2 linked regions of the Nothobranchius furzeri genome follow. The protein of the gene in region 1 binds, or shares a complex with, the protein of each later gene. Links are inferred from orthologs where the notes say so. Each region holds a gene or a part of one and is shown in the gene's direction. Other genes may lie near its edges.

Region 1 (4,604 bases):
GCATCTTAGTTAAAATTTAAATATTCTGCCTAAAACTGGCAGTGTTGTGCCGTTGTCAGGTAAAAACTCTGCACTGTATTCTAATTTAAATCTGCCACCGCTATTGGCTAAGAGGTATGCTATGATGTAAACTGGTACATTATGATGTCACAGTGCTGTTGTGAGCCTGTGTGAGTGTGCATTTGTTAGCAGCTCCACCCTCTCGGTCTGCCAGGCAACAGCATTTGTGGCATTTTTCAAACATGAAGTGGGAGTGGAGTTAGACTCTGGTAGGGGATGACTTGCTCTTTAAAGAGCAAGTCACCCCCAACCAGATTCTTACTCAACTCCCACCTGTTTGAAAAATGCCACAAATGCTGTTGCCTAGCAGACCGAGGGGGCGGAGCTGCTAACAAATTCACACACACACACAGGCTCACAACGACATTGTGACATCATATGGTACCAGCTAATGTCCTAGGGCACCTCTTAGCCAATAGCGATGGCAGATTTAAATTCAAATGCAGGGCAGAGTTTTTACCTGACAACGGCACAACACTGACAGTTTTAGGCAGAAAATTAAAATTTTAACTAAAATGCACTAAAGTGTTAGCCTGGCAAGCCAGACTAAATAAATGTATTATTCTTTGCAAAGCAAGAATTTGGTCTAGTTCACCAGGCTACTAAAGTGCAAAACTATTGACTACACGTGTCTGCAGCACGATTAGACACGCATTTATATCGTTTATCAGGAAAAAAGTTGATTTGGGGGCGACTTGCTCTTTAAACAGTGTTCCAAAGAATCGAAAAGAAGTAATTGATCATATTTCGACAGGTAAATTATTCCAGTCCAGTGGGGCTTTAACACTAAAGGCAAGTCTTCCCATCTCTTTGAAACATGGGTACAACAAAAGAAACATGCTCATTAAATCTAGTGTTATTAAAACTAGTACACACCAAATACCTTTTAAATTCGATGGAAAATCAAAGAATATACATTTAAAAATAAAAATGAACCACTGAAATCTACGTCTACGATGTGCTGACCCAGAATTGGCATCCTTTTGCTGCAGGATGAGAGTCTGACCTTCCAGGGCCAGCTGGACAGCTTGGAAGCAGAAATCCTGAAGTACAGAAAGGAGCTTCACAGCCTGCAGGTCATGAGGGACGACGCTCAGCTCTCTGAAGAAGCTGCAAAGGTGATCAGCGTTTTCCCTCTCTTCGCTTTGCACAAGCATCCTGGTGAAGCTTTGCATGTCTCATTCTGTCCCCCTGTCTTTCCACCAGGCCGCGTTCCAGCAGCAGGACGAACTGCTGTCCAGAGAGCGTAAGGAGAGGGAGAGAGCAATAACAAGTTACAGGAAAATAGTTGAAGAGCACAAGGCAGAGACTGGAAAAACTGAAAGAAGTGTAAGATGATCGCTGCTTTTAGATGTCTAATTCTGTCCATGGTCTCATAAAATGTGGAATTCAGTAAGTTAGGATGGGATTCAGCTCTGACACTGGTTGTAAACACGTGCTGACATTTAAAACGGGTGGCCTGCAGGTGAAGAGAACACCTCTGCAGCCAGATGAGCTGAGCAGCGAGGCCCAGCACAGCACCACTAGGATCCCCGCTGAGGAGGAGAAGGCCTTTTCTGCTCTGGAGGAGGCCTTCGAACGCATCAAGGAGACCACCGGAGCCACGGACGTGCAGGTACCTGAGATCTGATCTTCAGTAGGGAGCAGATTTCACCTTCTTCTCATCTAAAAACACCTCACGCTGAAGCTGGGATCATTTCTCTGGTTGTTTGTTTAGGAGATAGTGAAGCGCTTCACCTCACAAAAGGAGATGCATGAACATCTGGAGAAGCTGAAGAAAGAGAACGAGGAGGCCCTGCTGCAGCTGAAGGAGCAGAGGGAGCTTCTGATCCAGCGGTTTGAAGAGGAGGAGTATTCTGGAGATGCTAAGCTGTCATGGTGAGACTCACGTTGACCCTATGAGAACCCTGACCAGCTGTTTTTGTTTCTCTGGTTGAAGGAACCCGTGTGTCCTAAGGGTTGTTTTAGACTCTCCTTTTTTTGTCTTTGTGCTTTCATTAGTGAGCAGCAGAAGCTGGAGGAGGCCGAGCTTCAGCTTCAGGCTCACCAGCAGAGGTGTGACTCTGCCAGGGAGCGGCTGGACTGGCTCACAACAACCCTCAGTACCGTTACAGCAGGAGTGGAGCACCTGGCAGAGAAACTGCAGCACATCACTCTGGTAAGACACCTGCTCACGCTCGCACACACAGCATACCTGCAGTCTTTCTGTCACCGTTCCCGTTCCAGAGCGCGGGCAGAGTTACTGCGCAGCAGCCAGACTCCGAGGAGGCTGTGCTGGAGCTTCTGGCCCAGTGCGAGCTACAGCTGCAGCTGCTGCAGAAGGAGTTTGAGGGGAAAGATCTGACTGCTATCATGAAGGAGATGGGAGAAGACGAGGTGAGAAAAAGCTTCAGTACACTCTAGCCATCACATCTGGAGCTCGACAGGATCGAACACAGATTTGACGAGCTGCTGTAAAGCAGATGTTTTGTTATTTAATAACCCCTCACATAACAATTATGACCCAGAAGATGCTTTACATTCATTTATTTCAAACTCTGTCATCACAGTTATACACCGTCTGGAGGTTAGGGACAATATTTAGGCATCAAAAGCTTTTTAGTTTCAGTTAGATCTCCAATCCAATCCAATCCAATTTTATTTATAAAGCGCATTCACAAGGCATTACAACCAAACAAGGCGCTGTACACTAAAAATGTTAGTTAATCAAACCGGCGGTATACAAACATGTCGAACACAGATAAAAGATAAAAAGGAAATACAACAAAATTCCCAAAAGCTAACAGCTAAAAATCAATAAGACACAGGGTGAATAAAAATTAGAAAAACATTTAAAAAAGAACCTCAATATAGTATGGAAGTTGATATTGTGAAGTCCATTTTTAAACAATGCAGATGTAAGTGAGGTTCATAATTATGTGGTATAAGCTAGGTTGAAGTAGTGAGTTTTCAGGCGTGATTTAAAAATGCTAGCTGTTGGTGCTAGCCTCACTAGCAGTGGTAATGCGTTCCACAGCTTCGGTGCACAGACAGAGAAAGCCCTTTCTCCACGGCTTTGTAAACGAGCATTCGGAACAGCTAGGAGGAGCTTATCTTCAGACCTGAGAGCATGCGGCGAGTTGTAGTAATGGACAAGTTCACACAGATATGGAGGAGCTTGATGGTTCAAGGATTTGTAAGTCAGAAGCATAATTTTGAAGTTTATCCTGAACTGCACGGGCAACCAGTGGAGAGATTTCAGAATTGGAGAAATGTGTTGTCTTCTGTCAGCTCCAGTCAGCAACCTAGCTGCTGAATTCTGGACCAGTTGAAGTCTAGAGAGAGCTGCTTTACTGATGCCGTATAAGCAGGAGTTAGAGTAATCCAGCCTAGAGGTGATGAAAGTGTGGACCACAGATTTCAGAAGACCGACACTCAGGATGTGCTTTAGTTTTGAGATGCGTCTTAGTTGGAAAAAACATGATTTAACTGTGTTATTGACCTGGACATCCATCTTCAGAGCCTGGTCCATTTTTACTCCAAGGTTGGAGATTACAGAGGATACATTAGGTGAGAGATAGTTGAGGTCAGGTTGATGAGTCACCGTGGTACTGTTAGGACTGAAAACGATTAAGTCAGTTTTGGAGTCATTGAGATGGAGGAAGTTATCAGCTAGCCATTGCTTGACCTCAAGGATACAATCAGACAGAACTTTCGTTGATTGAGTTGGCTTAAATGAAAAATAGATTTGACAGTCATCAGCGTAAAGATGGTATGAGACAGCGTGCTTTCTGAAAATGGCTCCTAAGGGCAGTATATAGAGGTTGAACAGTAACGGGCCGAGAATTGAACCTTGTGGGACACCCCAACGTAGAGGCTGTGACTCGGATGAACAGCCATCCAACATGACCCTAGCAGACCTGTTACAAAAGTATGACCTAAACCAGTGGTTCCCAAACTTATTTAGCCGTGCACCCCCTTCTATGTCCCGACCATATATATATATATATCAGATGTCAAGCTAAACAGAAAGGGTTAAAATAATTCCCCATCACTTTCATTTTTTAAATAGTAAATAATAAGCATTCGATACCATTACAATTTCCTTTGATTTCATTTTGAATAAATATTTAGAGTGCCCAGGTAGCACATAAACAATGCAATTTAACGGTTTTCTTAAAGTAGGAACGTTTAACCTGTGCGGCCAGAGCGCTCTCCTTCCTTCTGCTCTGCGTAAACCTGAACGGATCACCTACTTGTGCATAATCAAATGTCAATAGGGGACAAGATATAGCCATGATGTTCACTTTTACCTCAGACCGACTTATTGCTGTTTTATGGTGTGGCTGAATCTGCGATCCGCTGTCATGCGGACTGGAATAACAAATGCTGCAGTGGACTTGTGGTCAGGTTCATGAGGAGTCACTGGCTGGAGCGGACCCGACTCATCCCAGAAGCTAATATCTTAATTTGACCTTGAATGAAAAATAACCTCTTAAAAGTTTTTATCACGGTGGAGGCAGCGTTCATTTCTGCCTTCAGTCTGACGGCGGGCCGGAGTTAAA
Region 2 (5,277 bases), on another chromosome or scaffold:
GTTAGTAGTTTTAATGTTCTTTCCTCCCTTTTTCCCCTTTCTGATGTTGTTACTGATCACCTTTCTGTGGTTTCTGGTTTAGTCCTGACAAAAGTTTTCTTCTTCAGAAGAACAATCACATTTTACTGTTTTTATGTTCTGACTAATAGTGTCTGTTTACATGCTGTACGTGTCTGTGCTTGAGTGGAAACATCTCCGTGGTTAGCATCGTCTGCAAAAGTGCTGCAACTTTGTAATGAAACTAATAAAGATATATTTTAACAGTGAAAGCGGTGGCTCTTTTTGTGGAGCATAGAAACATGATAGTTAAACAAATTGAGGTGATTATGTTGCACTTTAAGGCTGCAGGGTGGAGCACTGTTTCCTCACAGCAAGAAGGTTACAGGTTCAAATCCCGGCTGTGGTCTTTTCACATTTGTTTTCATCCTACGGACCAAAAACAAGCAGACTGTAAACGTGTCTCTTGGTGTGGGTTAGTATTTGACTTGTTGTTTGTCTCTGTGTCCCCATGATGGACTGGAGGCATGTCCAGGATGTCTGATGATTCAAATCCAGAGATCACCTCAGTTATGTCCTGTGTGCACCCACACATGCAGTTAAACACTTGTTCAAAGGCACATCTTGCTCTGCACCACAACCGGCCCTTGAGCCAAGATAGTTCATGCTTAACTGTGACAGAAACAAAAAGTCTCCCTCATCTGCTGACTTGTCACGAAGAGAAAGCACAGCTCTATGTCAGAAGATGTTTGCTGGAGCATCCTGCTGTGTCTTGTCTGAGGTACTGACCCAAACCCACACCTAACTGCAGCAGAAACAAGACAAAGGCAGTCTGTCTCGAAGAGGTTTGCAAACAGAAATGTTTTTGCCGATTGTTGCTGGAATACAGCCATTGAACATGACGTAGAGCCACACATTTCTCAGGGAGCATTTGCAGGCATTTGTGTGATTCACACACCAACGCTATCTTCAGCTTATCTGATCATGGCAGCCAGGGCAGAGAAGTCCAAACATCCTTCTCACCAGCCACACACACACTCACATATATATAGTGCTCAGCATAAATGAGTACACTCCTTATAAAAGTGTGAATTTAATCAGTAGCACTTTTTTGTTACTGCTGCCAGCCTTTTTATAGTCACCTGTCTGCTGGACACCTCTTAAATGAATCATTAGACTCACCTGTGATTTAATGCCTGTTAATTTAAATTTTGTACTCTTAAGTGTGGCTTTTCTCTGAAGACTATAATTGAGGTGCTCATTTTTGCAACATAGGCCTGAATGAATTTGTTAGGAAAATCACGTTTTTGTGTGAGCAAATGAACAAATCTTGTTTGCAATCAATGGCCCACATTACTTTGTGGTATGGTATCTCATAGAAAATTTTGATTCTGAAAGGAATCTAAAGGTTTTCTGACAAATGAACTTGGGGTACTCATTTATGCTGAACACTGTATGCACCATCGACGTATATACGGTATACACACACACACATGCACGCAACCAAACAGAAACCACAAAACAGCTAAAATATATTCTCTGCAAGACACTTAATGATTTTAATTCAGAGAAGTAAAAGTGAAAAAATAAAAAAGAAAGAGAACTTGAAAAGCATGAAACATAAAAAAGAAAAGAAAAAAAATCAAGAAGTTCTTGCAAATAAATAAATGATAACATAAGCTAAACTAATAATTTTCAAAGCAATAGAACTAAATGGTCCCCGGGTTATGTACCGGTAATTTGTGTTTTGCCATCTCTTGGGGGCGAGCCTACAGTTTTCTTGTTTGCATGTCTAATCCTGCAAACATTCTCCAGTTGTTGATTAAGAATTCTCTAATGCCTGCCTTTTATTCTATTTATTATGTTTTTATTTATTCTCATATGCTTTGTCATTAGTTTTATTTCCTTTTATTTGCTCAAGTGTGATTTTCTTTTGAATTACCTGCGAGACATCTCGGCCAGCTTATGTTTGCAATGATACTCGAACATTTTACCTGGTAAAATAAAGGACGTACAAACAACTGTGATTGTACGAGAGCTGCTGTGTTGATGTTACCATAGAAACGCTCCATCACCTCCATCACTATATATGTCGATGCATCACCTTTGTAGTTTATCTCGGAGCACGTGACGAACTCTCTCCTCCAACATGGACTTGACTGCTATGAACAAGAGAAGGATTCGTGAATTAGCAAAAACAATCACTGAAAAGGATAAACACTGTGAGTAGAACTTTTTTAAACTTCTTTTGACCCCGCTGTTTCGGTTTGTTGACGGAAGAAGCTAGTGGCAGCTAGCTAGCAGCTACACAACGTAAACAAGGATTATCTGTGTTTGCTAGTCAAGAAGAAGGAGACGGAGAGCCTGATCCTGGAGTTTTATGAGCTTCTAGGGCAGAAGGTTAAGCCGGGCACAGAGGAACACGGAGTGGACCGATTGAAGTTCAAAGTCTACCTCCACGACATGTTTAGGTTGTCCAAGGAGAAGATGACAGATGGAAGTAGGTATCATTCCAGAATGCAGTCCCTTTTCAAAAGGGATGCTGTCTATTTATCCTTAGACTGCCTTTTAATTATTCCCAACACATTTTTATTTGGTAAATGTTTTAATTGAAACTGGTCAGACATTTTATTTGAATGTTGAATTAGGTTATTATTAAATAGGATTGGACCCATTTGTTCTGTTAGGGTTAAAGTTATAATCTGAAAAGACCTTTGTGTTCAACTGACAGGTGTATGTGAGATTAACAGGACATTTTGACATTTCTGTGACATTTTTCCTTTTAGTTGATACTTGTAGCTCTTTGAACAGCCTCGGTTAGGAGAAACAGAGACCAGTTTTGATTCTACAAAGATCATTCTGACTGGGACCAGTTCCAATTTGTTTCTGCTGTCTTAAACAGTGGTGGCTGGTGAAATTTTATTTGTTTTTTTAGTAAGACACATTTTTGCAAGACAGTTTTCAGATGTGCTAACCACATGACTAGGGGACACCAAATTAGCATTCTTATGAGTCACACAACTTTTACCAAGTCCACGACTACTTTTGGCAACAAAGTTGTTCAATATTCACCAATATATGCAAACTGCACACTTTAAGCCATACTATGCACGTTTTTCATATGTGCTAACATGACCGTTTACAATGTTAATGAAATGTCATTCAGACCAACAGGTGAGTCATTTTTTTTGTTTGGAACTGTTCGACAGAAATCCTCCTCTAAAGATCTGAACTACTTTAAATTGAAAACTTGGCAATAATCTATAATGGATAAATAAATCTGATATATTTTGCAGCCTGTTTAAAACACATTTATCCTGAGACAATGGCTAACGCAAAACTTTATTGTAAAACAAACAGACAGACAAAAACCTGCTAAAGACACATTTATTGAAGTGACTTTGCAGCAGATGTTTTAACACGAATCAAATTGAAAACACAGAATTAAAAAGAGCAGGTTTTTTTATAACTGTTGGTAATTTTAACGAGTATTAGAAAATTTAACTCTTTAGTACTAAAGGGTAAGTATTTTTTAGAAAACTGTGTTTTTAGAGTGTTTTCAGTTTTCAGGGTTTTTGACAAAGACAGAGACGGCTTCCTCAGTTTGGAAGAGTGGCTGAAGGGAATGACAGTGTTTCTTCGTGGGACCTTGGAAGAAAAAATAAAGTGTAAGCTCCCCCCGTCTCTCTAACCCACGCCCACAAACTCAAATCTAGACTCACAGCCTGATTCTTTTTTCATTCAGATGCATTTTCTGTGTACGATCTGAACGAGGATGGGGAAATGAGCAGAGAGGAAATGTTCTACTTCCTGAAGGACACCCTCCCTGGACTGCCCCCAGAGGAGAACCTTGAGGAAGCAGTAAAATTTCTCGTGGAGATCCCGATGAAGAGGATGGTAAGAGATGTTCAACATCTGTTAGTTTCAACGTGCTCTCATTAGTTAGGAGCTAAAATAATTCTTGCATCCTCTCACCCACAGGACACTAATAAAGATGGACTCGTGTCTTTGGAGGAGTTTGAAGCAGCCGTAAAAAAGGAGAATTTGCTGCTTGAGGCCTTTGGACCCTGCCTTCCAGACACCATGGTGATCACAAGTTAGAGGCTGCTTACTGCTTCAGAATCAGCAACTTAAACTGTGTAATTTACAGTCTGCTTTCTTACCTTTCAGACAACCAGGAAGTTCCAACAGCGGGCTTTTCAGAAGCGCCTGGAATAACCTTCGTTCCTACACGAATTTAACCTTCTGATCTTATGATCAGAAGACATTCATTTAGTCATTTATTTAGTCTGGCTTGCCAGGCTAAGCTGTACCACCTTGAGTCACGTAAAACTGCGACTCAACTAATACACGTGACAGCCCCATCTAGTGGACAACTTTTGTTTCTGCGCATAGCCGCATACCTGTAGTTATCGTCCATTTATCGTTATCAAGGTGAAATCCTCAATATATCGTGATATTAATTTTAGGCCACATCGCCCAGCCCTAGTAGCAACCTAATTTTCATTTCTAGTTTTTAAAATGTTCATCTTTAGTTTTTTGTTTTAATAAATTTGTTAATGTTGTTTTACCTTAATTTGAACTACTACAATTTTTTCATGTTCTTGAGGTTCGACTAGTCTGAAATAGCCAACAACAACAGCAGAAATCTCACTAAATAAAACTTAGAGTATTTTAAGTATATTTCAAGAGTCTTTTTCAATCTGTAACCCCTGTTTGGGGTCACAGATTGTGGGGGTGGTTTGTACACTGATGAACCAACGTACAACTATTTAACATCACCAGCTATACTAATGTGTGTTTTCAGACTGTGAGAGAAAGCTGAATGAATGATTCATGTTTGAGGAGAACACACAAACTCTAAACAGAGTTTAGAACATTTACGCTATCAGTTAAACCACAAATAAAAACTGCAACAGGTGAAAGGAAGCACCAAATACGGATCCACGGAAAATCAGATTGTCTGCTCATTTAAACTTTGAAGTTTGTATGTTGTATAAAAACAAAAATAACACATTTTAAGCAATTAACAGTTCACATGCACTTTTAAAGATTAATTTGGGAATTTCCGCTGCATTTTTATGTGTTATTCATTCAACATAAGAAATACATATCATCTGAAAACTAACTGGTTCTTTTTAACATTCAAAATGTTGCCTATTAGTGTTAGTATGATTGCTGCTCATTTATACATGAAGAGAAACAAATATATATTTATATATTTTTTTCCAAACACGTCCCACACTAAATCTGTATATCTGATTTGAAATGATAGCTATT

What was found. Proteins that work in one complex are often made in the same cells at the same time.
Region 2: odad3 (region 1) and clxn share a complex: the UniProt entries of both Homo sapiens proteins name them as parts of the outer dynein arm-docking complex. The link is inferred for Nothobranchius furzeri from reciprocal best matches to the Homo sapiens genes ODAD3 and CLXN.

What each region holds. Positions count from the first base shown.
Region 1 is NC_091746.1:25,113,811-25,118,414, reverse strand, and holds part of odad3 (coiled-coil domain-containing protein 151), read left to right. Parts: intron 1-1,052; coding exon 1,053-1,178; intron 1,179-1,266; coding exon 1,267-1,389; intron 1,390-1,525; coding exon 1,526-1,675; intron 1,676-1,777; coding exon 1,778-1,938; intron 1,939-2,061; coding exon 2,062-2,218; intron 2,219-2,286; coding exon 2,287-2,436; intron 2,437-4,604. UniProt on the Homo sapiens protein: Component of the outer dynein arm-docking complex (ODA-DC) that mediates outer dynein arms (ODA) binding onto the doublet microtubule. Involved in mediating assembly of both ODAs and their axonemal docking complex onto ciliary microtubules.
Region 2 is NC_091743.1:68,488,708-68,493,984, reverse strand, and holds clxn (calaxin), read left to right. Parts: upstream 1-1,961; 5' UTR 1,962-2,146; coding exon 2,147-2,219; intron 2,220-2,338; coding exon 2,339-2,497; intron 2,498-3,560; coding exon 3,561-3,665; intron 3,666-3,742; coding exon 3,743-3,894; intron 3,895-3,978; coding exon 3,979-4,083; intron 4,084-4,167; coding exon 4,168-4,215; 3' UTR 4,216-4,446; downstream 4,447-5,277. UniProt on the Homo sapiens protein: Component of the outer dynein arm-docking complex (ODA-DC) that mediates outer dynein arms (ODA) binding onto the doublet microtubule. Seems to regulate the assembly of both ODAs and their axonemal docking complex onto ciliary microtubules.